Linked DNA regions of Xenopus tropicalis. The protein of the gene in region 2 interacts with the protein of the main gene of each other region in a pairwise test. Links are inferred from orthologs where the notes say so. Each region holds a gene or a part of one and is shown on either strand. Other genes may lie near its edges.

Region 1 (4,227 bases), on a different chromosome or scaffold from region 2:
TCCCGATTTTAGTTTTCCAAGGTTGGAGCCAACATGAGGCTGCAATGGAAAATATAATGTAGTTGGTAGATAAAGGGTAACACAGGGCTGGAAAGTGGGGGGAACCAAGAAAAGCGACTTTTTTATGTTACAAAAAAGAGTTCAGAGCTTTATAAACAAAGTTATATATTTAAATTTTTAGTGGGAAAAATATACTTTATTGACATTATACATAATTGTGGTGTTGGGCTGCCAAATCAAGCAGGACTGATACACGTGAGAAGTGCCACACAGCCATGCTGGGGTTTTTAGTTCAACATGTGTATTAAGGACATAAGCCCGGGATGTGAGGCAGGTGTGCCAAAGGTCCCCATATCTATAAAGCAATAAAGCTGATCTGTACTTTATATGTAAGCATTTCCATGCCTGGCTTGTTTCCTTAGGTTGCTAGGTATATGCAGTACTTAGTAGCAGAGCTAAGCTGGTCATACATGTGTATCAATACAGCTCTCATTGTGGGCCAATGCTTCTGAGAAGATGTGTGGCCACTTTTCAAGGAAATATCAGTCAGCAGCCTGATTGGGGGATGCCATATTCAGGCCAATAAGCTGCCGACTTAACCAGAAGGGGTAGAGTCAGAGCCTTTATCACTTGTGTATGGCCAGTTTAAGCCATATCCTCTGCTACATGGCAGCTCAGGTCCAGTGCCAGCCAGTAGGTGCAGTTGGTTGCAAGTCTGATGTGCATTGTGATAATGACCTTATTATTGATAAAAGCAGATATGTCGGCTATGCATGTGTGGGATCAAAATGTTAGAGATAGCCCACATTGCTCCCTATGAGTGTGTTTTCCCAAAAAGCAGGAAAGAAGGGTCATCATAGCCATTTTTAAGTTTTTAAAGTTGTAATGTGTCTCACCATCGACATAGGTACTCAAGAGGATAGGCTCAGGCTAATAAACAGTTAAGTGTTTTTTAAGAACCACTGGCTGCCCAAGTTTTCGCCTTTTCCAATCCTACAGAAAAGGCCCATCTGAGATAGTCCTGTGTAACTCACATTCTACTGGGAGTTGTAGCATGATAGTAACAGTTTAGCTGTGGCTTGTCAAGGGACAAATGGCAGGGTTAGATTATTGCCCTGAAGAAATGGAGCTAGCTGATGTCTCTGCTAAACACAATAGTATTTAGTCCTGATAAAGTCCCTAAATGTAAAGTTCATTGCTGGTTATTTGAAGCTGGGGCCAAACAAGTGAATACAATGCCTAGCATGGCCCTATCCAAATGCACTGTATTTTGGAAGATGAGGGTAGATGGGGAGGTGAGAGACATGATGATACTAAATATGTCAATGAAAGGCTTACAGTGATTGACAAGAGGGCCCTGTTCACTCTGTTGACTGTGTATTTTTGCACCCTATAATCCTAATTATAATTTCACAGAATCCGTGGAAATGAAGTGTTACTTGAGAAGCGTTGATGCAAAGCACAGTCCCATTGCCCTTCCTGATGGTAAAGGGGTCACTTTAGGAAGAGGACCAGAAACCCTTGTAACAGACAGGAAGTGTTCTAAGACTCAAGGTAGGGACCCATGTAAAAAATATATTGCTGGTGGAAAGGGTTTTCGGGGAGATTAGTCACCCGCGGTAGCAGAGATTAACCTCAGGTGCCTAAAAGGCTTTTCTTTAGAAAGGAAAGGGCCCTTTTATCCCTCAGTACAAAGGCATTGCAGAGGTAATTGTCTTCAGACCCTCCTTCATCACAGTGTGAGGGAAGGTCTGGCTTAATGGTAGAGCAGGGGCATTCCTTTACCTTATGGCTATGGAGGGTTCCTTTTCCTTGGTATCCACCAAAGCATCACCCAGGGCACAAATGCCTCAACAAAGTACAGTAAGTAGTAGGGAATCTACTCTTGACCTGTGGGACTGGAACACTTGTAGCACCTTCAACATCCTTGTGAAAAAAGTGGTTTTATGAATAAAAAATAAACATTTTAAAAAATGCTCTTTTCCAGTGGAACTTGTGGCTAATCTGGAGAACAGAGCAGTCCATGTAACCCAGGTAAGATACCTACTGTATTGGAGATGACTGATAATTGAAGCTCTATACAGCTTATTTCAGTGTAACTACTTTATCACTATCTGAAGCAACCAATCAAATGCAACACTTTGACTAGAGCATGTATCCCGGGTGACTTAATTATTTGTGTGTCTTTGACCAATGACCATGTATGTCCTTATCCAGAATCTGGCACTAATGACATTTGTTGTATGTTTATAGACTATGTTTTAGTGAGTGTAATTAACCTGACTTCATGTTTTTACTTATAGTTGGGTGCAAACCCTTGCTCAGTTGGAGAAGCAGTGCTGAAGAAGGGAGAGAGCATTTTAATGAAAGAAGATCAGACGCTTTTTTTGGTGAATAGGCTACATCCATATACTGTAATGTTTAAGGAAGATAGTCCTAAACCTGCTGCTGACACTGGAAAAATCAATAAGAAATCACCAAAGAACACCATAACTGAACCCCCTTCCACATCATCCAAGAAGACAATAACAGATTTCTTTGGGGCCTCCACATCCAAAGGAAAGAGGCGCATACAGCACGATAACACTTCCACTGGATCAAGCAACAAGAAGCCAAAGTACCAGGACCCAAAAGCTGAGGCTGGAGAAGAGTGGGATGACTCAGAAGAGGAGGAAATAGCACGCAAACTGTCTCACTTGCAGGAAACGGCGGCTAAAGCTAAGCCAAGCGAGAACCCATCTCAGGTTTCTTCAACTGATGAGAGAGGAGTTGCCTGTAGCAAAGATTCCTGGGAAGAACATGGGAAGCTTCTTCTCTTTAACAAGAAAGGGGTTCAGGCCAGTTCTAAGGTATTAAATCCATTAGTTTTCTGTTGGGTTTAAGGGCATATATAGGTCTTAAGCTGGCCTGCATGTGTCAATAATAGCTGCCAGCTTGGCCCCTCCAAATCAAGACCACTTATTCGTACATGTATGGGGCCTCTTGATATACGGGATAAGTATCTATCAGGCTGGTTTGAGAAGCCCATCCGATCAGCACCACATTGCCATGTTGATACATTCCTTACCATACTTTTCTCACCCAGGTCTCGTAAACCAAAAATTATATCAGCTTAATTAGGCCCAGTGAGTGGGTGACAAAATCATGCAAAGATCTGGCCAAACATGCAGTTCTTTAGGGTACTAGTAGCATCAACTTATCACGGCTACTAAAACAGACAATGCTGATGGTTTACTGATAAATGTCTCTACATGTGTTTTAGCAAAGGCAATTCTCAGTATTGTCTATGGCACGGTATATTCTGGCATTTACTAGCTATGATTAGTAGCTGCTACTAGTAGCTCCGTGTGTCTTTACCCTCAAGAACTGCATGTTAGGCCGGGTCACCCTTCACCCTTAAGTGTATAACCAGCTTTAGCACGGTAGCTTCTAAACAAATCTTTATTGCAGTCTGTAAGCCAATGAGTTGCACTCAGAGCATACAATGTACAAAGCAGCTATAAATCACTAACTTGTTCATCTTGCAGATTGCTGGGTTTGATATTGACGGGACAATTATAACAACAAAGTCAGGAAGAGTCTTCCCTGTAAACGCTGATGATTGGAAGTAAGTTAAAAGGAAATAAAAGCGTTCATTTTATCTCGGCATTTAAGTCTAAAACCTTTTAACACTTTTATGGGGGGAAGTAATTAAAGGCACTATGGAAAAAATAATCACAGGGCACAAAATGTATGCCTTTATGCGAACAAAATTTCCTTTGCGTGAATTTAATGTAGCTTTTGGGAGCCTGGAAACTGTTTAGCATTCACTTTCACCAGCAAGTAATATGGCAAATTTTATTGTTTGCACCAGTGCACAGTGTATAATTATGTTTCTCTTGATCTCACAGAATTTTATATCCAGAGGTTCCCAGGAAGTTAAAAGAGCTTCTAGCCAATGGCTACAAGGTATGTCTTCTGGAATTTTATGTGGGATTTATAATTCCTGGCATAGTGTGTGACATTGCCATGCTATTTAATCAGAGTTCTGCATGAAAATGTTCTCAGCACCAGTAGAAATCATTTCTAAGCAAGTGCTCAGTGGCCATGCATAGGAAACTGTTCCTGGACACAGCACATGTAAGTTAACTCCTTTATTCCCTAGCTCCAAAACATAAACAAAAAGGCAATGGGGTGAATCCCGGTATTTTGTCGCCAGCATGATGCCCTGCTAGAAATTGTCCCTCT
Region 2 (3,949 bases):
CCCTAAATCGGGTGAAGATAAATTAATTTGGCAGTCTTAATGTGTATGGCCATCTTAAGACTTTGGGGTTTGTAATACACTACTAATCCCTCCCATCCCTGACCCACTCTGCTGCTGCATTCCCCCTTTGAAGGATTGTCCTGCCTATGCCCCACTCATTTCACCACCCCGTGTAACATCACCTCCTAGTCCCCCCACCCGAAGGCCAATTACAAAAAAGGTGACAACTCTAGCGTGATTTTACCACCTTTATTCTGGTCCACATTGGCCTGATCCTCTCACTTGGAATACTATTTACTTGTGCCCCTGGCCTGCACACTTAAAACCTTATTCAAACCAATTTTACCTTTCCTTTGTAGTTAATCATAGCAGGCCACCCCCAGTTTATTTAAGACACTGTCCAGACCTTGTACATCACTGCTCACTGGAAACCCTACCCTTACTCCCCCACGCAATTTTCCCCCTGGTAACATGCAACGTACTGCTCTGAGGCAAGGTTCTCATCTCACCTTTACTTATGGCAGACGTGGCACATGGGAGGCACTCAGGGGTGGCCAATATATAGGTAAATATGTTGCCAACTCGGTCTGTGGGTCTGAATTTGCAGCTTAGGCTGCCTCTGCATGGCCAGCTTTATGTAATAAGCATCACCTCATCTATGTGGCTGTATTTTGCAGCAACTGTTTTGTAGCAAGCAGTGTGATGACAAAGTGGATTTTGTTTTGTAGACACAAGCTTAAAAAGAAAATATAGAAGCTATTCGATCTAAACAGCATTTCGTCCTAATTCTATCTGGTCTAAAATTCTGCCATGGTTTCAGTGCAATCCAATAGGCAATTTATTAACAAATACGAAACACACTTAAAAATCCTAGTAGTCTAAACTACTGGGCCACGTACTGTATGTTTTTCAAAGTATTTATACTATTTTGCTCTTTTTTATCGACGCATTTACCAATCACTGACATCCTAACCCGCCAACTAAATGGAAGGTAGTGAGAAATAGACGTGAACATAAATGAGAATTGCTGATTGGCTGCGAGACTTGACGTTTCCGTGCAGCTCCGAGCGCAGTGACGTAGTTGTCACCGCCTCCCTCCCCATCTTTTCAGTGCGGCGTCGCTGGTTTCTGAGTAACAAGCCCCGAATAAAGATGGCGGCTGCTGGTTCCAGTGTTATAAATGACTGCTGTTAATTACCTTCCTATTTTAATTTAATACAGGCATAAGTTGTCTTGAATGTTCAGCCGCGGTCTGACCGCTAGTCTTTGTGTCCATCTGCCCCCCTCGTCTCCCTTCACTCTCCCGGCTGCTGCATGTCTGCAGCTGAAAGGGGGCGTTTTACTGATCATTTTCTGACTTGTCTGTGCAGCACCGTCAGGTACCTGACCTACTTCAGGTCCAGGAAGAAATCCCTGCACTACTGCAAGATCAAAGAGCCCAAACTGGAGGAGATGGATGAGCAAAGCGTGGAGGTGAGAGAGGAGGGGGAGAGCTCTGGCAATCAGAATTGTCACATATGTAGGGTTACCAGACCACCCTATACATTTTGGTGTGTCCTTCTTCCAAAATATCTGTCAATTGCATTTAACAATTGTGAGTGGGGTTTTGTACCCTGGTTTTGGGGCTATTTTTATATTAGATGCTGAAGTTTATTATTGCTCTTAATTTAGTATTCAGGAGGGATATTAAGATTAGAAGGTGTCTGTCTCCATGGTCCCAAAAATAAGGTTGGGCCCCTGAAAAAGATCCTCCATATAAGCAAATACACTTGTAAGTGTAAAATGTATCACTTCAAAAATTCTCAAAATTCTTCATGCAAGTAACATACTTAGATACATTTTATCAAAAAATCAAGTGGGGTACCAAATTTAGTTATTCATATAATAATTGCAAATAGAGTAGAACCCCTGTTTTATGTGTTTGGTGTACATTCAGGGAAATGTATTATATATATATTGGGGGGACCACACAAGAAGAAAAAAGGAAAAAATCCCAGTGTAAAATGAGGGACAACTTCAAATCAGGGTATGTCAGATTGAGGTTTCACTATAATGTATCTCATCATTAAGAGCTCCGTTTCCTAAAATGGTATAAAAAAAATAGAACACCGTTGGAAACCAGAAATCCTGTGTGCTTGTTTAAAAATGTTACCTTCTCTCCTATTATTCAGTATGGAGCTTTCAGTTTAACCCATGTGCATTGTATACTACTTCCAGTTCCGCATGTAACGTGCATGCCCTGCCCAAACACTGTAAAACCCCCATTTTACATTGTCCAGGTAAAATGGTGTAAAATCAGCCAAATGCATTATACATTTTATATTAGTGGGACCTCAAAGTGTAAAATGAGGAAAAAATTTAATTTAGGGTAAGTGAAATAACAATTTTTTATTTTTTTTGGTCTTGATGTGCATGGCTCTGTCATCTTATATATTTCCTTGTCATCTACACCAGGGCAAGTTGGACAGGACTGTTCCTCAGTGTTATATATTGTCTTATTTGTGTTTTGAACTGGGCTTTACATACAAACTTTGTCCCATTATAGTTACACAGCACATTTTTAAACACATACAATTCAGTATGGTCATAACTAAATGCCAGGGAAACTCTTAAGACCCCAAAAATTCTGCTTTTCACATTTGGTAATGTTGACCATACAAAGTTTAGTATTGACTGGTGAGTCTGTTATGCCTTTGTGTGCATATTAATGGTATGTATATGGGGTCAAAACTATGGTTTCCTTAGCTTATTACTGATTGAAAAAATCTGTTATGAGGGCACATCAGAATGTGGGTGTGCTCTACTCCCAAAAGGTTCAAGATGTCCCCTGTGTGATCTTATCATTGGGCCACATCAGTTTATATTGGCCAACTAAAATTGGTAAAGATTCTGTATACTGGCATGGTCCCCAAACAAACTAATCTGCCTTTGTATGACCAACTTTATTGTGGTAGTGGACTCCTCCTATTTTTGTGTATATTTTTTGTTAAAATCAGTCCGTGACTTCCTCTTGAATTGAATGGTTGGTTTTATTTGCTTATTTTCTTTAATACCTGTCCAGACATATCATTACAAACGTTATCTTCACAAGAATATTTGTTGTAATTACATTTTGTCATTTGGTGTATGGGAGTGAGTAGCAAAAAGTGTGATGACTTTACATGAGTGTTAAAGCTTGTTCCAAAATTTTATTTATTAAAGTTTGGTTAATACTGAACAGCAACATTTTTCTTTATAGTTAGCCTGTGTAAACCTGTCATAATAGGAATGACTTTGTTTTGCCTAATGCTTGGACACCTGTAAACACTTGTGAAAACCTAAATCAGATGCTCCAATAATTACATGTTATCACAGTCAAACATTAGCCATTATGCTAACCCAACAGAAGCATGTAAAAATTAAGTACATTTTAAAGGGAAAAAATGGGTAATCCCTGGGGTAGTAATGATTAACTCAGACCCCAGGTCAACAGCTGGTCTGGGCTGTGCTCAAGCAAAGTAGAGTAAATTCAGAAATGTTGGGAGTCTGTTGCAGTTTTATTTCTCTAATTATTGCAACAGAAAGACCATCTGCATTCCCTAAAGGGTATACTAGAATGCCATTCCTGGTGGTAGCAGCCAGCTACCAGCACATAATCATATTCTTTCATCTGCAGTAGAATTGGCTGCTGTTAAGAATTTCACTGCCACTGCAGTTGATAGGTTTAACACTGATATTGATTTTCTCTGTGTAGCAGGTCAAGTGCAAGTATGGGACCCATTAACCAGAAAGTTCCGAATTACGGAAAAGGCCATCTACCATAGACTCCATTTTAAGGAAATAATTCAGATTTTTACAAAATATTTCATTTTTCTCTGTAATAACAAAACAGTACCTTGTACTTGATCCCAACTAAGATATAATTAATACTTATTAGAGGCAAAACAATCCTATTGGGTTATTTAATGTT
Region 3 (4,223 bases), on a different chromosome or scaffold from region 2:
AGCCTGAAGGCCAGTTAGGGGGATTTGGGGTGAGTGCCCTATCTATGTGCCTGTGTATGAGCTGCTGCCCTGTACAAGTTGCCCCATGGCTCACACACAACTTGCCCAGTAGAATAACAAGCCAGCCCATAATCACAGCAAACAGACAGGGTCGCGGGATATAAACACGCCATGTAGCGCAGTACAATGATACCCCTGAGCCGTGGGAATTCTATACGGGGTTAGAAATTCTCTGATCCAGGAATTGCCTCTCAGACTCGGCCAAATCCCCAGGATTTTCAGCAAAATCCGGTTTCAGACGGTCGAATGCGGCTTTTCTTGTGAGTTCCCTGAACACCTGAGTCTCAAAGTCACCAGCCACGGGCGCTACAAAGTCACCCAAACCCCCCCATGCAGTGCCCAAGGTGGTGGCTCACAGGGGATTATGGGAGATGGTGGCATAGGTTATTTAACTTTATAATACTAAATTCCACAGTCAGACTCAGACTAATCCCACTTAAATTCCCCCTAATCACTGCATAACAGAGACCACTGCTACGGATTGTAATAATAATAACCCCCCCCCCCCCCCCAAATCGTGTCACTATCACTATTGATCCCTAGGGCAAAGGTTAATGCTGGGGAGGGGCAGATAGAGATCACTAACCCCCCCCCTATAAACCCCCTTGTGAATCCTACCCCCCAGGTAACAGGCTGTGGGTCTGACCCTGTATGTAAGGCTCAAAATTAAAAGTTTAAAGGGGAAGTAAACCCCAAAATAAAATAATGCCCAATGAAAGAAAAAGTTGTTGGGATTATGGCCTCTTTAAACTGTCAAAACTGGAACATGATGGAGAGAGTAATATTCTGAGACAGTTTGCAATTGGTCTTCATTTTTTATTATTTGTAGTTTTTTTTTTTTTACAGTTTTTGTTCAGCATCTCTGCTGTTTGGAGTTTCAGCAGCTATTTGGTTGCTAGGATGCAAATTACCTTAGCAACCAGGGTGTGGTTTGAATAAAAGACTGATATATAAATAGGAGGAAACTTGAATAGAAAAAAAAAAAATAATAATACTAAAAAGCAGCAATAATTAAACTGTAGTTTCACAAAGCAATTGTTTCTGGCTGTGACCCCCTGTTTGACAGCTGACAGAAGGTAAATCATTCAAAAACTATAAATAATAAATAACGAAGACCAATTGCTTAGAGCTGGACATTCTAGAACATACTAAAAGTTAACTTAAATACCAGAATACAAATCTAGTTTTAAACCTGCTGCTATAAGGTTGCTAGGGCTCAGGCACCCTAGCAACCAGGTAGAAGTCTTCATAAATTAAAACACTATGACAAAAAAAGAACATATGAAACTTTGTTTCCACTATTTCCCTCTGGAAAGTACAGTGAATCCCTAAGGCGCCATACGTAGAACCCCCATATTGGGATCGGCGCCCCGCGGAGAGGGTACGAGATGCAACACCATACGGCTCCTTTCTACTGTCCCAATTCATGACTAAGTGGACTACATTTCCCATCATCTATTGCACAGCGCTGCGGAATATGCGGGCACTTTATACACTTATTATTAATAATAAATCTCCTACAGAAGAGTCTCCTCACCCAGAATACAATATCAGCGTGTGAATTAGCCACTGTGACCCCACGTATTGGGGAAATTCTGCAGGATACATGATATATATATATGTCTATTTGTTGCAATAAATGGACTTCTTTGCTGCAGAGACACATTTCCCTGTGATGGCGAGTGACCCGGAGAGAGGGGGGGGGGGGTTAGTAAATATGCCCCAGGTCTATAGGGAGAATTAATCCCCCGGCTGTATAATCCGGATACGTACAGGTGGTTTCTGTGACAACTCATAAGATCCAGCCGATGCCGCACAGTAAGGAGAATCTATTGCTGATGACAGGGCAGTTACATAAACACCTCCAGCAGTGGGGCAGGGAGACATTCTGCCACATGGAACCACTTACAGGGGGGCAACTAATCCAGCAGTGGTGCCTAGTGACTGTACAGAGGGAAGTAAAAGCAGGTCTCATTGGCTGCTGTTGTACTACAACTCCCAGCATCCCCTGACAGCTAAAAAGATCTATATTACAACAGCTGAACAGCCAGAACTCCAGGGCCACTCACACTAAACTGACTGGGTAGATAGATAGATAGATAGATAGATAGATAGATAGATAGATAGATAGATAGACAGATATAGATAGATAGATGATAGATAGATAGATAGATAGATAGATAGATAGATAGATAGATAGATAGATAGATAGATATGGATAGATAGATAGACAGACAGATATAGATAGATAGATGATAAATAGATAGATAGATAGATAGATAGATAGACAGATATAGATAGATAGAGAGATGATAGATAGATAGATGATTGATAGATTAAATGAGAGATAGGTGGAATCACAGCCCTACAGTAGTTTCTCTATGGAAGCCAGTGACTTGCCCCAGGGAGGGGTACTTACAGCTGAGGGTAGGTGCCAGGGTGCGTGTAAAGGCACAGGTGGCAGATGGAGGGCACAGGGGGTACAGAGCAATGCAGTTCCCTTGCCCAGAGGAGCCCCCCCCCCCCCCGCACTAATCTCAGCCCGTAACTCCCAGGCACCCACTTACCGGACTTAACCAGCATGGCTCTGTGCATTCCGCTAGCGGGGGCGTCCGGCACCCTCACCCGATCGAACCAGGATCTCTGGGACTGCATGCCGGCCGGCTGGGTAGGTATGTAGCTGGGTATGTAGGTGGGTAGGTAACTGGATAGGTGGGTGGCTGTTACCGCTGCGCTGAGAGTACCGCTCCCGGCTCGGCCATTGGCACCGACTGCAGCGCCTTCCCCCCCCCGCCCGAGCTTTTCAGTCAGAGCAGCATCACGTGATACGAGAGAACTCCCCCCCCCCCTCCCCTCCGTGCGGCTCCCTCTCCCATTCCCCTCTCCGTGTGTCCGTCTGAGGGCCCCACACTGCCACCTCTGTCCCCTGCACTAACCTCATAGGTCCCCACACTGCCACCTCTGTCCCCTGCACTAACCTCATAGGTCCCCACACTGCCACCTCTGTGCCCTGCACTAACCTCATAGGGCCCCACACTGCCACCTCTGTCCCCTGCACTAACCTCATAGGTCCCCACACTGCCACCTCTGTCCCCTGCACTAACCTCATAGGTCCCCACACTGCCACCTCTGTGCCCTGCACTAACCTCATAGGGACCCACACTGCCACCTCTGTCCCCTGCACTAACCTCATAGGGCCCCACACTGCCACCTCTGTCCCCTGCACTAACCTCATAGGGGCCCACACTGCCACCTCTGTCCCCTGCACTAACCTCATAGGGGCCCACACTGCCACCTCTGTCCCCTGCACTAACCTCATAGGGCCCCACACTGCCACCTCTGTCCCCTGCACTAACCTCATAGGGGCCCACACTGCCACCTCTGTCCCCTGCACTAACCTCATAGGGGCCCACACTGCCACCTCTGTCCCCTGCACTAACCTCATAGGGCCCCACACTGCCACCTCTGTCCCCTGCACTAACCTCATAGGGCCCCACACTGCCACCTCTGTCCCCTGCACTAACCTCATAGGGACCCACACTGCCACCTCTGTCCCCTGCACTAACCTCATAGGGGCCCACACTGCCACCTCTGTCCCCTGCACTAACCTCATAGGGACCCACACTGCCACCTCTGTCCCCTGCACTAACCTCATAGGGCCCCACACTGCCACCTCTGTCCCCTGCACTAACCTCATAGGGACCCACACTGCCACCTCTGTGCCCTGCACTAACCTCATAGGGCCCCCACTGCCACCTCTGTCCCCTGCACTAACCTCATAGGGGCCCCACTGCCACCTCTGTCCCCTGCACTAACCTCATAGGGGCCCACACTGCCACCTCTGTCCCCTGCACTAACCTCATAGGGGCCTACACTGCCACCTCTGTCCCCTGCACTAACCTCATAGGGGCCCACACTGCCACCTCTGTCCCCTGCACTAACCTCATAGGGGCCCCACTGCCACCTCTGTCCCCTGCACTAACCTCATAGGGACCCACACTGCCACCTCTGTCCCCTGCACTAACCTCATAGGGACCCACACTGCCACCTCTGTCCCTGCACTAACCTCATAGGGGCCCACACTGCCACCTCTGTCCCCTGCACTAACCTCATAGGGGCCCACACTGCCACCTCTGTCCCCTGCACTAACCTCATAGGGACCC
Region 4 (3,500 bases), on a different chromosome or scaffold from region 2:
ATGGGAGTCACCCACCACCGCTAAAGCCACGCCCCTCTCACCTTCCTGTAGGCGTCGCACACGAGGATCATCTCCTGCAAGAGTTTCCCGTCGGGCGTGGTCTTGGGCACAATCTCCCAGAAGACCAAGAGCAGCTTCTTGATGGTGTGATCCTGCAGCGGCAGCACAAACCGTATGATGGTCATCAGCAGCCCCGGCAGCTTCTCTCCATTTAGGATCATGATGATCACTTTCTTCAGGGCCTCCGTCTTGGATTTCACATCTCCTTTCTCTGCAGGGGGGGGGGGGGGGGGAATAGAGAATTACTCACGTGTACCCCCCCGTATCCAGTGATGCATTGGGAAACCCTGCTCTTAACCTTTAGTATGATGTAGAGTATAATATTCTTAGATAATTTGCAATTGGTCTTCATTTTTTATTATCTGTAGTTTTTTAATTATTTCTGTTTTTGTTCAGCAGCTCTCTGGTTGCTAGGATCCATATTACCTTAGCAACCATGGAGACGCTTGACTGAAAAACTGATATATAAATAGGAGAGGGACTGAATAGCAAAATAAATAACATAAAGTAACAATAATAATAAAACTGGAGCCTCACAGAGCAATAGGGTTTGGCTGCCGGGGTCAGTGACCCCCATTTGAAAGCTGCAAAAAAAAAAAAAAAAAAAAAAAAAAGGAAAAAAGGTGCAAATAATTCAAAAATTATTAAAAATATATAATGAAGACCAATTGAAAAGTTGCTTGGAATTTGACCAAAGAAATATTGCTCTGTGAGGCTACAATTTTATGGTTAATTTTTATTACTTTATCTTTCTATTCAGCCCCTCTCCTATTTATATATCAGTCACTCTCTGGTTACTAAGGTAAATTGGACCATAGCAACCAGAAAACTGCTGAAATTCCAAACTAGAGAGAGCTGCAGAACAAAAAGTAAAATTAATAAACTCCCGGAAATAAAAAAAAAAATGAAGACCAATTGCAAATTGTCTCAGAATAGCACCCTCTACATCGTTCTAAAAGTTAATTCAAAGGTAAACAACCCCTTTAGGTACTAATGCACAGTAAGGAGGGGAGTTGGGAGGGGCCTCACCCAAGTCCGCCTTCAGAGTAATTTCGGATGGAGGTTCCGAGTCCATTGGAACGTTAATGAGAGTGTAACACACATTCTCGGCTGCAGTCATGGTGCCGGGGCAGTTCAGCCTTCTGATTCGCTGCTGTATAAAATGAGGAGGCGGCCCTGGAGGAGAAATGAAAAAAACATTACAAATAAAGAAAAACTGGCGCTGTATTTATCCTGCTGTGGGTTCTGGGGTATTATACATGGAATTGGCACTGTATTTATCCTGCTGTGGGTTCTGGGGTATTATACATGGAATTGGCACTGTATTTATCCTGCTGTGGGTTCTGGGGTATTATACATGGAATTGGCACTGTATTTATCTGCTGTGGGTTCTGGGGTATTATACATGGAATTGGCACTGTATTTATCTGCTGTGGGTTCTGGGGTATTATACATGGAATTGGCACTGTATTTATCTGCTGTGGGTTCTGGGGTATTATACATGGAATTGGCACTGTATTTATCCTGCTGTGGGTTCTGGGGTATTATACATGGAATTGGCACTGTATTTATCTGCTGTGGGTTCTGGGGTATTATACATGGAATTGGCACTGTATTTATCCTGCTGTGGGTTCTGGGGTATTATACATGGAATTGGCACTGTATTTATCTGCTGTGGGTTCTGGGGTATTATACATGGAATTGGCACTGTATTTATCCTGCTGTGGGTTCTGGGGGTATTATACATGGAATTGGCACTGTATTTATCCTGCTGTGGGTTCTGGGGGTATTATACATGGAATTGGCACTGTATTTATCCTGCTGTGGGTTCTGGGGTATTATACATGGAATTGGCACTGTATTTATCTGCTGTGGGTTCTGGGGTATTATACATGGAATTGGCACTGTATTTATCTGCTGTGGGTTCTGGGGTATTATACATGGAATTGGCACTGTATTTATCCTGCTGTGGGTTCTGGGGTATTATACATGGAATTGGCACTGTATTTATCCCGCTGTGGGTTCTGGGGTATTATACATGGAATTGGCACTGTATTTATCCCGCTGTGGGTTCTGGGGTATTATACATGGAATTGGCACTGTATTTATCCCGCTGTGGGTTCTGGGGTATTATACATGGAATTGGCACTGTATTTATCCTGCTGTGGGTTCTGGGGTATTATACATGGAATTGGCACTGTATTTATCCTGCTGTGGGTTCTGGGGTATTATACATGGAATTGGCATTGTATTTATCTGCTGTGGGTTCTGGGGTATTATACATGGAATTGGCACTGTATTTATCCCGCTGTGGGTTCTGGGGTATTATACATGGAATTGGCACTGTATTTATCTGCTGTGGGTTCTGGGGTATTATACATGGAATTGGCACTGTATTTATCCTGCTGTGGGTTCTGGGGTATTATACATGGAATTGGCACTGTATTTATCCTGCTGTGGGTTCTGGGTATTATACATGGAATTGGCACTGTATTTATCCTGCTGTGGGTTCTGGGGTATTATACATGGAATTGGCACTGTATTTATCTGCTGTGGGTTCTGGGGTATTATACATGGAATTGGCACTGTATTTATCCTGCTGTGGGTTCTGGGGTATTATACATGGAATTGGCACTGTATTTATCCTGCTGTGGGTTCTGGGGTATTATACATGGAATTGGCATTGTATTTATCCTGCTGTGGGTTCTGGGGTATTATACATGGAATTGGCACTGTATTTATCCTGCTGTGGGTTCTGGGGTATTATACATGGAATTGGCACTGTATTTATCCCGCTGTGGGTTCTGGGGTATTATACATGGAATTGGCACTGTATTTATCCCGCTGTGGGTTCTGGGGTATTATACATGGAATTGGCACTGTATTTATCTGCTGTGGGTTCTGGGGTATTATACATGGAATTGGCACTGTATTTATCTGCTGTGGGTTCTGGGGTATTATACATGGAATTGGCACTGTATTTATCCCGCTGTGGGTTCTGGGGTATTATACATGGAATTGGCACTGTATTTATCCCGCTGTGGGTTCTGGGGTATTATACATGGAATTGGCACTGTATTTATCCTGCTGTGGGTTCTGGGGTATTATACATGGAATTGGCACTGTATTTATCTGCTGTGGGTTCTGGGGTATTATACATGGAATTGGCACTGTATTTATCCTGCTGTGGGTTCTGGGGTATTATACATGGAATTGGCACTGTATTTATCCCGCTGTGGGTTCTGGGGTATTATACATGGAATTGGCACTGTATTTATCCTGCTGTGGGTTCTGGGGTATTATACATGGAATTGGCACTGTATTTATCTGCTGTGGGTTCTGGGGTATTATACATGGAATTGGCACTGTATTTATCCTGCTGTGGGTTCTGGGGTATTATACATGGAATTGGCACTGTATTTATCCCGCTGTGGGTTCTG
Region 5 (3,500 bases), about 65 Mb from region 2:
CTCTGCTGGATGAAGACATCTATAATGAAATCCAGGTGCTTTTAATAGCGATTCTATATATATATTACTTGTCATGTTAGCGACCTGATTCCATGGATAACACAGCTCATTGCCAGCAGTAACCATACAGTGGCAGTGGAGTGCTTTGAAATATGGGGGATAAAGGAGAAGGCTGCATTATAGTTTAATGGTGTAGATCAATAAATTGAGCAGACTAGAGATGCCTGTAGCTTAAGGTAAGGCTGGGGATGGGTAAGACAGGTGCTATTTAAGCAGTATGCCGCTTTCTAGGTCATACAGATGTATCTGCTGCTTCTTCACCATTTCATATTTATTCAGAAAATACAGAGGTTGTACGATTCTTACATCTGAGGGGCACTGCTATTTGACAATAGTGCTCAAGTTCAAAAGTATGGCAGTTAAAACACCAGCTTGTAACTTACCCCCTTACCAGTTGCATAAACATTCCATAAGCAGAAACAGCACAGTTCCATCACATTAAATATGCTGACGTTTTACATGGTAGATCCCATTTCTAATAAGCAACAAGAACCAATATATTAACCTAATTTCCGGAAGATAAATGAAAACGTGCAGTTGACTTTTATATAAATAAAGGCATATCTGGTTGTTTATGTTCTAAAAGTAAACCTTGTTATTGCTAAAAGAGCAAGTGGCTGCTTCGTCTCTCTCTAGGTGTTCCGGAAAGCCTTGGTCAGGATGTTTGAATCTAAAGGTCTGGACTGTGTCTTCTTGGAGTCAAACATATATGCAAGAAAACGGTTGCATTTGGTCTATGAGTGCATTCCTCTCCCAAAGGAAGTGGGTGATATGGCACCAATATATTTTAAGGTAAATTATCAACTTGCATTCAATTATTAGGAGCAATAGACGGATATAAAGAACCTCAGGTTTATAAAGAAATGAGCCACAGTGCCATGGGAACTAGTGAAGAAAGGTAATAGGGAATTTTTCCCAAAGTAGCCAGATTAAGGGGGTAGTTATGTAAAACAGCATAATAAGATCTAGATATAAGGGTTTGTCATTGTCCCGTCTAATATTGCTTTCTGGGAATGTGGGCATGATAATTGCAAGCTCATTCATTTCATCTGCAGCCAGATGGTGACAGAAGTTGCCAAACTTTAAAGCTGTGTGGTATTCACTCTCTACAACAGTGACAAGCTCTTGCAGATAAAGAGCAAATAGCAACCTGTAGCTATTCTGAATTTCTGAACAACTACTAGCTATTAAAGGAGAAGGAAAATCAGTTTGGCATTTTACTGCCAATAGATTTGCCACATTAGTGCTACTATATTTATTCTGCAGAAACCTTTACCATACCTGAGTAAACAGCCCTAGAAGCTTTCTCTGTTTGTTTAGGAGAGCAGCTGCCATTTTAGCTCAGTTTCCGTAACTGTAGCTGCTGCAGCTCTAGGGGTTGGTAGCTCAGATCACATATTCCTAAGGGAGGGGGAAGCAGGAGAGGGAAGAGAGCAGACTCTGGCCCCAGGAACGAAGGATTTTTCTGAGAGAGGAAATCAGATACCCTAAGAACATGTTTACAAAAAAGTAGACAAGAAATCCTGTGTTTCTTTTGATAGAGGACTCAGTGCAGCATTTCTGTGAGTGCTTATGGCTGTATTTACATAGACCTTTCCAATAAAGCTTACCGTACTTAGTTTTTCCCTTTCTTTCTCCTTTAAATGATACAAACGAGTCATGAGTGAATAGAATAGTTTGTATATAAAGTATGACTCCAGGGGTAGATTTTACATAAGACAGGTGGCACTTCAGTTTATGGTCAGTTGCTGGATGACCCCCCATCCTCAAAAAATGGTGGTGACTTGAGTTGAAATCCTATGCCCAAGCCACATGTGCCTCTTGGAAGCAAAGGAAAGATGGCACTATGCTCTACAGGCCAGTAAGTGATTATGGAAGAGTCAGATAAAGTCTAATTAATGTCACTTACTTACAACAGAAAACTTCTGTAAAATTCACAGGCTACTGGATTATCAGAATCGACCTTTCCAACCTTTACTACTGTACCTTGTCCAACTGTATCTTGGAATAACTAAACTCTGAAAATGAGCCAACGTGTTTCATTCTGGGATCAATAAATTGCCATGACCAATGAGAAATGGCAACAAACTGCACTGTTTGGTCTCCTTACTTGTATTTTTCTCTAAAAAATCAAATGTTCATTAGGAAAAAAATGAACCAAATGAGACTACAAACCCAATCAATGGAATAAGAGTTTGGAGTAACAGTTTAATGGCCACTTTACCTTGACCAGTTTAATACATTGTGTTGTTTCATTCATTTGACTGTTAAGCTCACAGAAACATGTTCCCTTCACACCAGCTACAAACCCATTATAAGAGATTTATGGGCAGATATTGGAGTCACAAATCAGCGGCAGTGTATCCGTCAGCCAACCTACGATGAATTGCAAATTTACTTTAAATGGAGTGTCGTCAATATATCAGATGTTTTTAATGGTTTATACTTTCCAGTTTCGTTGAACATTTGGCTGATAGAGCCGGGTATCACATACATAACGCCCGAAGGTTTCCATGTTACCATCCAGCCGTACATTTAGCCCATTTAGTGAATTCTGGTTCCTTTCAGAAAGGGCTTATTTGCTGATTTTTTATTCCATCTCCCATGTTAACCAATGTATTCATGCGTTTATTTTCATTAAACCAGAAAGCCATAATGGAATCTGATGAGGAGTGGTCCATGAATAAGAAATTAATAGACCTGTCTACAAAGGATATTCGAAGAGCTGTAAGTTTAAAAAAGTCTAAACATTTTACTATCCAAGAGCTGCCATCCCTCTATATTTCCCATCTTTGTCCTCATTATCACATTGAGACATTTCTATGTGATTCTCTTGAAATGAGCACACTCATACTTCTGTTATATGGTGTAATATGGAGGCTGGAGTCTGTTAGAATGTTACATATTCATGTTTTCAAGACAAGGGAGATCAAGATTTATATGGCTTTTTATGGCAGATTTCCAAAAGTATTTAAAAATATGAAACAATAACCATAGTATTGGCTATAAATCAATTGAAGGGTTATGAAACTGAGCAAAAATCAGAGCTTCAATGCAAATCCACAGGCTAAATTGGAAATACATGTATTCCCTTTGTGTTTCCATTGGGGGAGAACCCAAGCATACATAGGCATTTTACTGTTCTGACTAATGATGATGATTTATCTGCTTATATGTTCCAATACGTCTGCTTCTCAGAGCCCAATGTTACACAACAGAGTTTCCTATCATTGCCTGGCTGTAATTATATCTGGCATAATCCACTTTAGAATGTAGCTTAATCTGCATGTATCTAGTGTTTAATCCCCCGCTGATTTCTGTGTGATCGGAACATAGAAATTGGATTTATTTTTTCACTTGAGCTCAGACTTTAAGAGGTCACCAGAGATAATTCTGGATATCCTTGGAATTGGGGTCATAGCCATAAACTGGCTGGGGAT
Region 6 (4,023 bases), on a different chromosome or scaffold from region 2:
TGCTTGCAAAGAATCCTTCTGGATTCCCCAGATTGAACTGTAACAAATCAGCCCTCTTATCTGAAGAAAAAATATATAGCGGAGCACCACGAGGATAAAAATAAAAATCAGTCTTTATTCCATCAACAGTAAAAGGTACATCCATTGGGATGTACATGTGCCTTTTACTGTTGATGGAATAAAGACTGATTTTTATTTTTATCCTCATGGTGCTCCGCTATATATTTTTTCTTTATATTCTATTTCCAGGACCCATCTGGGAGCGGGTCTACATGTAGCACACTTGGGCTGTGTGGTAAGTGCTCCTGTGTATCATTGTTCTTTTTGTGCTCTTATCTGAAGGATCTGTATTCAAGTACTAGCTACTAACATCAGTACTGTTTGCAAGATGCTACCCAATCTGTTGTTAAAAGGAGAAGGTAAGGTATAATCACAGGGGGTGCAAAATGTTAGACACCCCAAGTGATAATAAATACCTGAGCCCCTGGGTTAGTGCTAATGTTTGGTGAAACTGCACCTGCCCAGGGGACTTCTGTAAGAGCATCTCATCATGAGCAGCCCCAGCCAGGGTACATATGTGCAGTAGAATGAAAAGCTTTTTGCTTCTAATTTTATTTGTGTGTGAAAGGGGAGATCAAGAATAGAGAAAAAGATGATAGCATGGCTGTACCACGTGCCGGTGCAGTTTTTCGGTGAGCAAGAGCACCAGCCTGTGGTATAATGTTAGCAATTACAATCACTGGGGGGGGGGGGCAGAATCACTGGCTTTGCATTAGAACAAAGTATTACAAATTGGAGCACCTTTTCCACATTAATGCAGCTGACATAGACAGGCATATAAAGGCACAAAGTGCAAAGGACTATATATATATTTGTAACAAACATACTTTTTTTTTGTTAGGGCTGTTACACACAAGGATAGTGTAAAGGGGAAGCAGACCTTGCAACTGCTGGGGACCAGGATGGTAGAGGGCCCAGCGGGGCTCTGATTGAAAAGCAGTTTCAGTATAAGTTTATGAAGATTTTATGTATTACCAAAGTTTAGTGGGAAAGGGGGTGCAAGTAACTTCTAGTTAAGCCAGTGTTACAGAGAAACAAAAGATTTTCCTAAAATGTTACCAAGTCTTCAACTCTATTGTGAATCCTTTATAGTGTAGATGAGTGGGAGGGAAGAACAGTGTGGCAGCCCATGCCATAAATTACTATCTCACAATTGCTCAGACTCTGCTTTAGTTGCTGCTGGAAATGGTGGGCTTCTTCCCAGGAGAAGTAGTACTGAGAAAAGGTCAGGGCATTCATTCTCCTTCTGAGTACAAGTACAGCAGCACAGAAACGTTCCTCTTCAAGCAGCAGCCAGCAGCCAGCCATCACACAGAGCAGGTTAGTAAAGATTTACATCAGGCTCTAAGTTTCCCAACAAGAACAGTCAAAATCTGGGGAATAGGCAAGATTGTGTATGCTTAACATCTGTGGGCTTTTTATGCTTAAGCAATTCACCCTATTTCCAGTTATGAAACTTACTTGTAAACTAATCTAAATATAGAGAATTGTATGCTAATGCAGAATCTCTAGCCTCAGCACTCCCTGTGTTTATACGGTGGGTTATGGGAGTTAAAGTTTATACTACGCAGTCTGGACATCCATCCTCCTAAACAGTAACTGATTTTAGGGTTCACAGTGTCACTGATGCAGTTTATATAATTTGTTCATATATAGATGGCAACTGTCAGTCATTGGACAGCAGCACAGTTTTACCTAGAATTTTTTAGACTGGCTAATACGGTACAAAACATTTCCCTTCTCTAGTAATACACTGCCACTTTGGGATCTCATAACAACAAAAGAACGGGTGGTATTATTTACTCAAGCCAATCTCCCCAGACTACAGTTCAGACTTGCAATTAAAGCTACAGGCAGCCGTATTAAAGTAGATGTGGAGATGAGAAGCAGAATTCAAAACCTTATGAAGAAATTCTGTGATCATTGTGATTGTTTGTATGATCAGATCAACAGTTTTATTCCAGGGCAGCAGCAATAAATAGTTAATGCAATGAAAATATGTTAATTTTTAGAACTATCTGCTTTTTTGGAAGATTGTGAGCAGACAGTTAGGGACTCTAGTAAAACAGCACCTTCTTATGGCTAATCTTTAATATGTATTATTCAAACCCCACCATCCCTTTTTTTGTAGTACCAAGAAATAATGTTTTAGCCAGATACCTCAGAACTGGGAATTATACTTGTTTTTCTCCAGGAAAAAAAAACTATCATCATTTAGTAAATCTTTTACATTTTGAAATGCTCTGAAGTTCACATTTACTGATGGGTGTAGACACAGATTTAGTCAGTCGCGTACAGCATACAATCAAAGGAAGAGGACTTTTCCTGAACAAGTAGAAACATTTTCCGGAAAGGCTGATTTTCCATTTATAAGTGCATTGAGTTGATGAGTTTGTGCAGATATTAAATCCCCATTCTTTATTATTTTTTAGAGCCACCTTTAGCTGTAATAGTGGTCTCATCATGATGTGGGGATGCTTTTTTGCTAGCAGGGACTGGACATTTTGAAAGAAAAGAAGAAACAATGGCTACTGCAAAAAACTGAACCTGTTTCATTCTGCTAATAAACTAAAGTGACAGTTCATCTTTCTGCAGGATAGTGATCCAAAGCATAAGGCTCCAAGAACTCCAACATGACCCAAGAACAAGATGGTCGACTCAAGGCCAGAACTAGCGGTAGGAAGGATAGGCACATTCTTAGGGTGTGATTGTGGGGGGTGCAGGCTGAGCATTGTTGGCGACTGGTGGAAGGGGAGTGACTGGCAGGTAGGATGTAAGGAAGCCAGTGAGTGACATCCGGGGGTGTGCATGGTGATGGTTGGGTGTGTGTTGCAAGGCAGGCTGACATTGCACCAGGCCATGTAGAAGTAGAACTATGGATAAGAGTGTTTCTGTTTTTACCAGTCACTTGGAGACACATAAGACAAGGTAGTCTGTAAAAAGGAAAAATGATATGTACATTTTTAAAACCTGTCCCTAAGGACCACTTGCAGCTCTCGAGAACTTTATCTAGAAGTATGAAAGCAATATTTATTTATTGAATATACCTTCTTTGCATGCAGAGGAAATTTTATATACTCCACCCATTTTATACATCTGTGCACAGGAGAAAAATATAAGGCACATTGATATCAGCCTAGGAGTTATTGATATAAATAACTGTGATCATTTCTTAAATAGTAATATACATGCAGCAATACTTTAATTTCTAAATTAACAAATGGGTTTACAAACTATAAGTGTAGATCAAATGGAGGGCTATGATCTGTATGGTATGTATTATGTACTAAGGGAGGAGACCACTCAAGCCTATAGGAAACATAGAGCTCCACATTTTGAGTCAGTGTTTTCAGTTGGCTCATACCATGCATATCCTGACATGCAACAGGAGGTCTAAAACATGCCACTTTTTTACATGTATTAATTGGTGCATTTACCTCCTGCAGCAGTCAGTATTTGTATGTAACACCCTTCCGTTTGTATAGGGCTGCAGAATATGTTTGTGCTTTATAATTAAATACTTTCTCTGTTTTTTTTTAACTCAGGAACATTTAAATGGATGAAAGACAAACAGTTTTGCCTCTCACTGTTCATCTTCTTGCCAGCTCGGGTGATTCGCTTGCCTTTCAACTTGCAGTTGACCGTCTTCTCCACAGGATATGTCCAGATGTCCGGTTGTTTCTTGTGTCGGAACGGGCTGCTCCCATTAAGCTGTATGAGTGCCAAACGAAAAGGCCTGAATTCCCAGGGATATCAGTGACACTCTTCCTGCGTGAGGACTTGGGAGAGGAAAGGATTGATCTCCTGCAAAGTTTTTTCCAGCTACCTCCATGGACTCATGTTATCGCAGACTTCCAGCAAGGAAGATCCTGCCCCTTTAAACTGCCGCTTTGTGATTATTATAGTCTTGATTCCCACATGCCTGTGTGGGAAATGAGACATGTCCATTATGGCACAGAAATT
Region 7 (3,500 bases), on a different chromosome or scaffold from region 2:
TTAAGATCAACAGCTCTTTGTGAAGGCCCAGAGGGTCAGTAACTCTTAAAGGAGAACCAAAGTTTAACAAAGAAGAAGGGTAGAAATCTTGCATCAGTACAGTTAGAATCCAGATATTTTTAATCAGCCCTGTAGCATCATCTTATGTCACAGACTAAAGGTGGCCATACAAGGAGTGGGCTTGTACAAATGTGCATACTTCAGAGTCTGTACATGAGTAAAAGTTCACTCATATGATATGCGAATGTCCTATTTTCTCCTATCACAATTATATAAATTATTCCGCTTCATTCCCCCCAACAGAAAAAAGCTACAGACCCTAATAGGTTCACAAATCGAGGGGGCAATCTGCTGAAAGAAGAAAAGCAAAGGGCAAAACTGCAGAAGATGCTTCCAAAGGTATGCTGTTTGCCAGGCGCATACACTAAACCTCTAGTGATATTATCTTCTCCTTGTTAAGTACTTTCATAAACATTTCTAATGTTTCTAATGTCTTGCCTGTTTTGTAGTTGGAAGAAGAGCTGAAAACGAGTATTATTGCATGGGAGCAAGAACAGGGACAGGAATTCTTTGTAAATGAGAAAAAATTTATGGACTATGTTGCAGAACAATGGGAGACTTTTCATCAGGATAAAGAGAGGGAGAAACAAGAACGGGTAGGATTAAAAGGCAGCCCTACGAAATACATTTCACTGTGGAGCTGCAGAGTTTTGTCTCTGAGGCCAGTTCTATGCAACAAGCCAAGCCACTGATACCATGTAAGCTGGGCTGAAACATCTTAGGCTCTGTGCTGTTAAACCACCCAATATTATATTAGGGCAGTCTAACACTTCTGTGCTCAGTCTGGCAGAACCACAGTGTTGTCCTGTGCCCTTTCTAAAATTGTGAAGCTATCATACACATAGGGGCAGATTTACTAATCCACGAATCCGAATCCCGAAAGGGAAAAAATCGTATTGGAAACAAACATTTTCGTCGCCGCTGCCGCAATTTTTTCATATTGAGCGATAGTAAACGGAAAAACCAATCCGATTTTTTCGCGACTAAAAAGTTGCGGAAAATATATGAAAAAGTCGCAACGGCGATGAACAAATTGCGGGACATATGAAAAAGTTGCGACGGCGACGAAAAAAATCGCAGAAAATACTGATCATTGCGAAAAAAACGTATTTGGACGCCTTCGGACCGTTCGTGGATTAGTAAATCTGCCCCATAGACTTTATGTCCATAAGCTAAAAGTTAAGGCTGAATGTGTGATTGACATCATACTATGTATCCATCCCAAACATATTGGAGGGATTCATTTACCACTGTTACTTTGGTATTTGTCTTCCCTTAGCATATGTGTTATTTAGAATTTTTATACATTCCTGTTATTATAGCTAATGAAGAAGAATCGGCAGCTTGAGGAGGAAATGTATTATGGCAGTGCACCAAAAACCCCTAATAAGAGGCGAGTGCCTGGACCCAGTACACCTAGTAGTAAATGTAGAAAGGTATGTATTTGGTTTTGTTTTTTTGTTTTTTTTTTAATGTTCTTAAATGATTTGCATACTGTCTGCAGTGAGATGTAAGAAACGAAATGAAAATTAAAAGGTTGCATGATATGGAACAAAGCAGTTCGCTATTTAAATTTTATTTGAGGAGCCAAGTTTTACGAAAATGTTGTATCTTTACTCAGATCACACAATCCAGACCATAGGTCATAAATGTACATTTTTTCATGCTCATCTGATCATTAAAGTGCCAATAACACAAGTGAAATTATTTATGTACATTTATAGATTACATCTGTCTGAAAATGAAATATTTTCTAGCAGCAACAGCACTTTTTATAAGGGGAGTTCTTCCTGTAGACCTGATGAAAGCTTTGAATAACACATGACCACTGTTCATAACGCATTTGTATTTTGAGCAGTTTCTCTGGCATACTTCTGCCCTGCAAGGCTCATAACAATTGTGCAAAAATCTATATTTTTTGGATTTGACCTAATTGCGAACCAAATCTGTGGGAACAAATGTGAAATTTTAGAATTTGGATTGGGTTCAAATAAAACCAAGGTTTTGATAGAATTCAAATTTTATAAATTGTTAGAATGTGATCTAAAACTGAATTCAGTGCATCCCTACTTAGTTATATTTTTAGGAAATGCAGTTTAATCTTTGTACTAAAAAGGCTAAACATCTCTTTATCACGTAAACTCTAAAACATTGTCTTTTTTCTGTAATACTATGCTGTCTTACTTTAGATACAAATAATAATCAGAATATGGTCTTAGAAGTCAACATAGCAGCATTTTTTATAACCGTTGAAGTGATTAACACCATTTAAGCCTGAGTAAGAAATTTACTAAAACAAGGGAAATATCATAACTTTCTTTTCAGTATTTTAAATAAAAAGGTATTTTACTCCTTGCATGGCTTGGAGCTGGGGTTACTCAGCAGGCAACATATTCATTACAACGAATACACTGCATACATGACAGTGAAAAAACTCTATCCATAGATAAGCATGACTGGAAATTGTTGATAGTATTTCCAATTGCTAGTTGGTTTGGCTTGCATGCTAGACAAGCAAAATATTTGTTTTACTGATATTTTTTGTTTTCCCTACCTTTATCTCTGTGCATGAATGATATTAACTAAGCATTGTTAATGTTTTAAAGTACTACTTTGTATCTTGCTTGAAAGCCACTGAAGTGCATGTGCATACCCTGGCATTAACTAATAAATATTAACATTACCTGCTTTTCCCGGCAGCTTAATGGCACCTCCATCTCCAGTTCCTCCAACAGCACTCTGCGCTCTGCATTCAGTGGGACGATGTGCCACTCTCCTGTATCTCGTCCACCCGTGTGTGGTGGCAAGGTTAGTTAATTCACTAGACTGTGCTTTTGTAAATTTTTATTTCTCCCAAGCAATTTTATTTACATCTGATTTGAGTTCTGTTTACTGCACAATGTAAGTGCACAAACATTTGTAGATGTTCATTTGGCTCAAATGCAGATAGAATGTCTGTTTTGTTTTTTTTTTCCCCCTTTAATGTATGCATGTTGTATTCGATTTTAGGAGCGTTGCATGTTATGGGTAAAAAGTGCTAAGCTTTCTGTATACCCATATCCAAAGCTGGAAATAAGGATGTCCAACTGGAGATTCAGGGGTCATAAATGGATGCAAATCTGCCCAAGGCCTCCATAGTTCCTTATACTGGATAATTATTTTATCATTTTCAGACAATCAATCACTAGATATGTTGTTGACTAGGTGGAATACTGATCAGCATATAGTTTGTTCAATATTTTTTTTTTTTTCTTTCTCTAATCAGCCCGGATTACCATCACGAACTCCAACCAGAGTGTTCAAAACCCCACAGCCAAAGCGGCTAGAGAAGAACAAAGAGAATATGTCCCAGTTGAATGGAACCGCCATGAGCGGTGGGTGCTACCTCACAATTCCTGCTCAACGTAACATCAGCGTTAACTCTGTTGCAAGCACCTATT

Evidence for each region.
Region 1: the proteins of trim37 (region 2) and pnkp interact in binary tests that used the Homo sapiens proteins (3 or more experiments, as listed by UniProt). The two-hybrid records come from large-scale screens. The link is inferred for Xenopus tropicalis from reciprocal best matches to the Homo sapiens genes TRIM37 and PNKP.
Region 3: the proteins of trim37 (region 2) and fam107a interact in binary tests that used the Homo sapiens proteins (3 or more experiments, as listed by UniProt). The two-hybrid records come from large-scale screens. The link is inferred for Xenopus tropicalis from reciprocal best matches to the Homo sapiens genes TRIM37 and FAM107A.
Region 4: the proteins of trim37 (region 2) and copb1 interact in binary tests that used the Homo sapiens proteins (3 or more experiments, as listed by UniProt). The two-hybrid records come from large-scale screens. The link is inferred for Xenopus tropicalis from reciprocal best matches to the Homo sapiens genes TRIM37 and COPB1.
Region 5: the proteins of trim37 (region 2) and cwf19l2 interact in binary tests that used the Homo sapiens proteins (3 or more experiments, as listed by UniProt). The two-hybrid records come from large-scale screens. The link is inferred for Xenopus tropicalis from reciprocal best matches to the Homo sapiens genes TRIM37 and CWF19L2.
Region 6: the proteins of trim37 (region 2) and fam124b interact in a two-hybrid assay, tested with the Homo sapiens proteins (2 studies listed by BioGRID and IntAct). The link is inferred for Xenopus tropicalis from reciprocal best matches to the Homo sapiens genes TRIM37 and FAM124B.
Region 7: the proteins of trim37 (region 2) and prc1 interact in binary tests that used the Homo sapiens proteins (3 or more experiments, as listed by UniProt). The link is inferred for Xenopus tropicalis from reciprocal best matches to the Homo sapiens genes TRIM37 and PRC1.

Annotation. Positions count from the first base shown.
Region 1 is NC_030683.2:117,566,168-117,570,394, reverse strand, and holds the start of pnkp (bifunctional polynucleotide phosphatase/kinase), read left to right. Parts: upstream 1-1,427; coding exon 1,428-1,554; intron 1,555-1,987; coding exon 1,988-2,034; intron 2,035-2,303; coding exon 2,304-2,849; intron 2,850-3,527; coding exon 3,528-3,607; intron 3,608-3,890; coding exon 3,891-3,948; intron 3,949-4,227. UniProt on the Homo sapiens protein: Plays a key role in the repair of DNA damage, functioning as part of both the non-homologous end-joining (NHEJ) and base excision repair (BER) pathways.
Region 2 is NC_030678.2:95,237,447-95,241,395, forward strand, and holds the start of trim37 (E3 ubiquitin-protein ligase TRIM37), read left to right. Parts: upstream 1-1,149; 5' UTR 1,150-1,314; coding exon of another isoform or gene 1,315-1,452; coding exon 1,453-1,473; intron 1,474-3,949. UniProt on the Homo sapiens protein: E3 ubiquitin-protein ligase required to prevent centriole reduplication. Probably acts by ubiquitinating positive regulators of centriole reduplication.
Region 3 is NC_030680.2:147,931,170-147,935,392, reverse strand, and holds the start of fam107a (protein FAM107A), read right to left. Parts: upstream 2,801-4,223; 5' UTR 2,628-2,800; intron 1-2,627. UniProt on the Homo sapiens protein: Stress-inducible actin-binding protein that plays a role in synaptic and cognitive functions by modulating actin filamentous (F-actin) dynamics. Mediates polymerization of globular actin to F-actin. Also binds to, stabilizes and bundles F-actin.
Region 4 is NC_030680.2:3,437,592-3,441,091, reverse strand, and holds part of copb1 (coatomer subunit beta), read right to left. Parts: intron 1,237-3,500; 5' UTR 1,181-1,236; coding exon 1,090-1,180; intron 272-1,089; coding exon 42-271; intron 1-41. UniProt on the Homo sapiens protein: The coatomer is a cytosolic protein complex that binds to dilysine motifs and reversibly associates with Golgi non-clathrin-coated vesicles, which further mediate biosynthetic protein transport from the ER, via the Golgi up to the trans Golgi network.
Region 5 is NC_030678.2:160,240,233-160,243,732, forward strand, and holds part of cwf19l2 (CWF19-like protein 2), read left to right. Parts: coding exon 1-35; intron 36-696; coding exon 697-852; intron 853-2,706; coding exon 2,707-2,787; intron 2,788-3,500.
Region 6 is NC_030681.2:123,829,070-123,833,092, forward strand, and holds the start of fam124b (protein FAM124B), read left to right. Parts: upstream 1-1,223; 5' UTR 1,224-1,380; intron 1,381-2,655; 5' UTR 2,656-2,736; intron 2,737-3,605; 5' UTR 3,606-3,615; coding exon 3,616-4,023.
Region 7 is NC_030679.2:108,141,106-108,144,605, reverse strand, and holds part of prc1 (protein regulator of cytokinesis 1), read left to right. Parts: intron 1-303; coding exon 304-399; intron 400-509; coding exon 510-656; intron 657-1,382; coding exon 1,383-1,496; intron 1,497-2,760; coding exon 2,761-2,868; intron 2,869-3,325; coding exon 3,326-3,500. UniProt on the Homo sapiens protein: Key regulator of cytokinesis that cross-links antiparrallel microtubules at an average distance of 35 nM. Essential for controlling the spatiotemporal formation of the midzone and successful cytokinesis.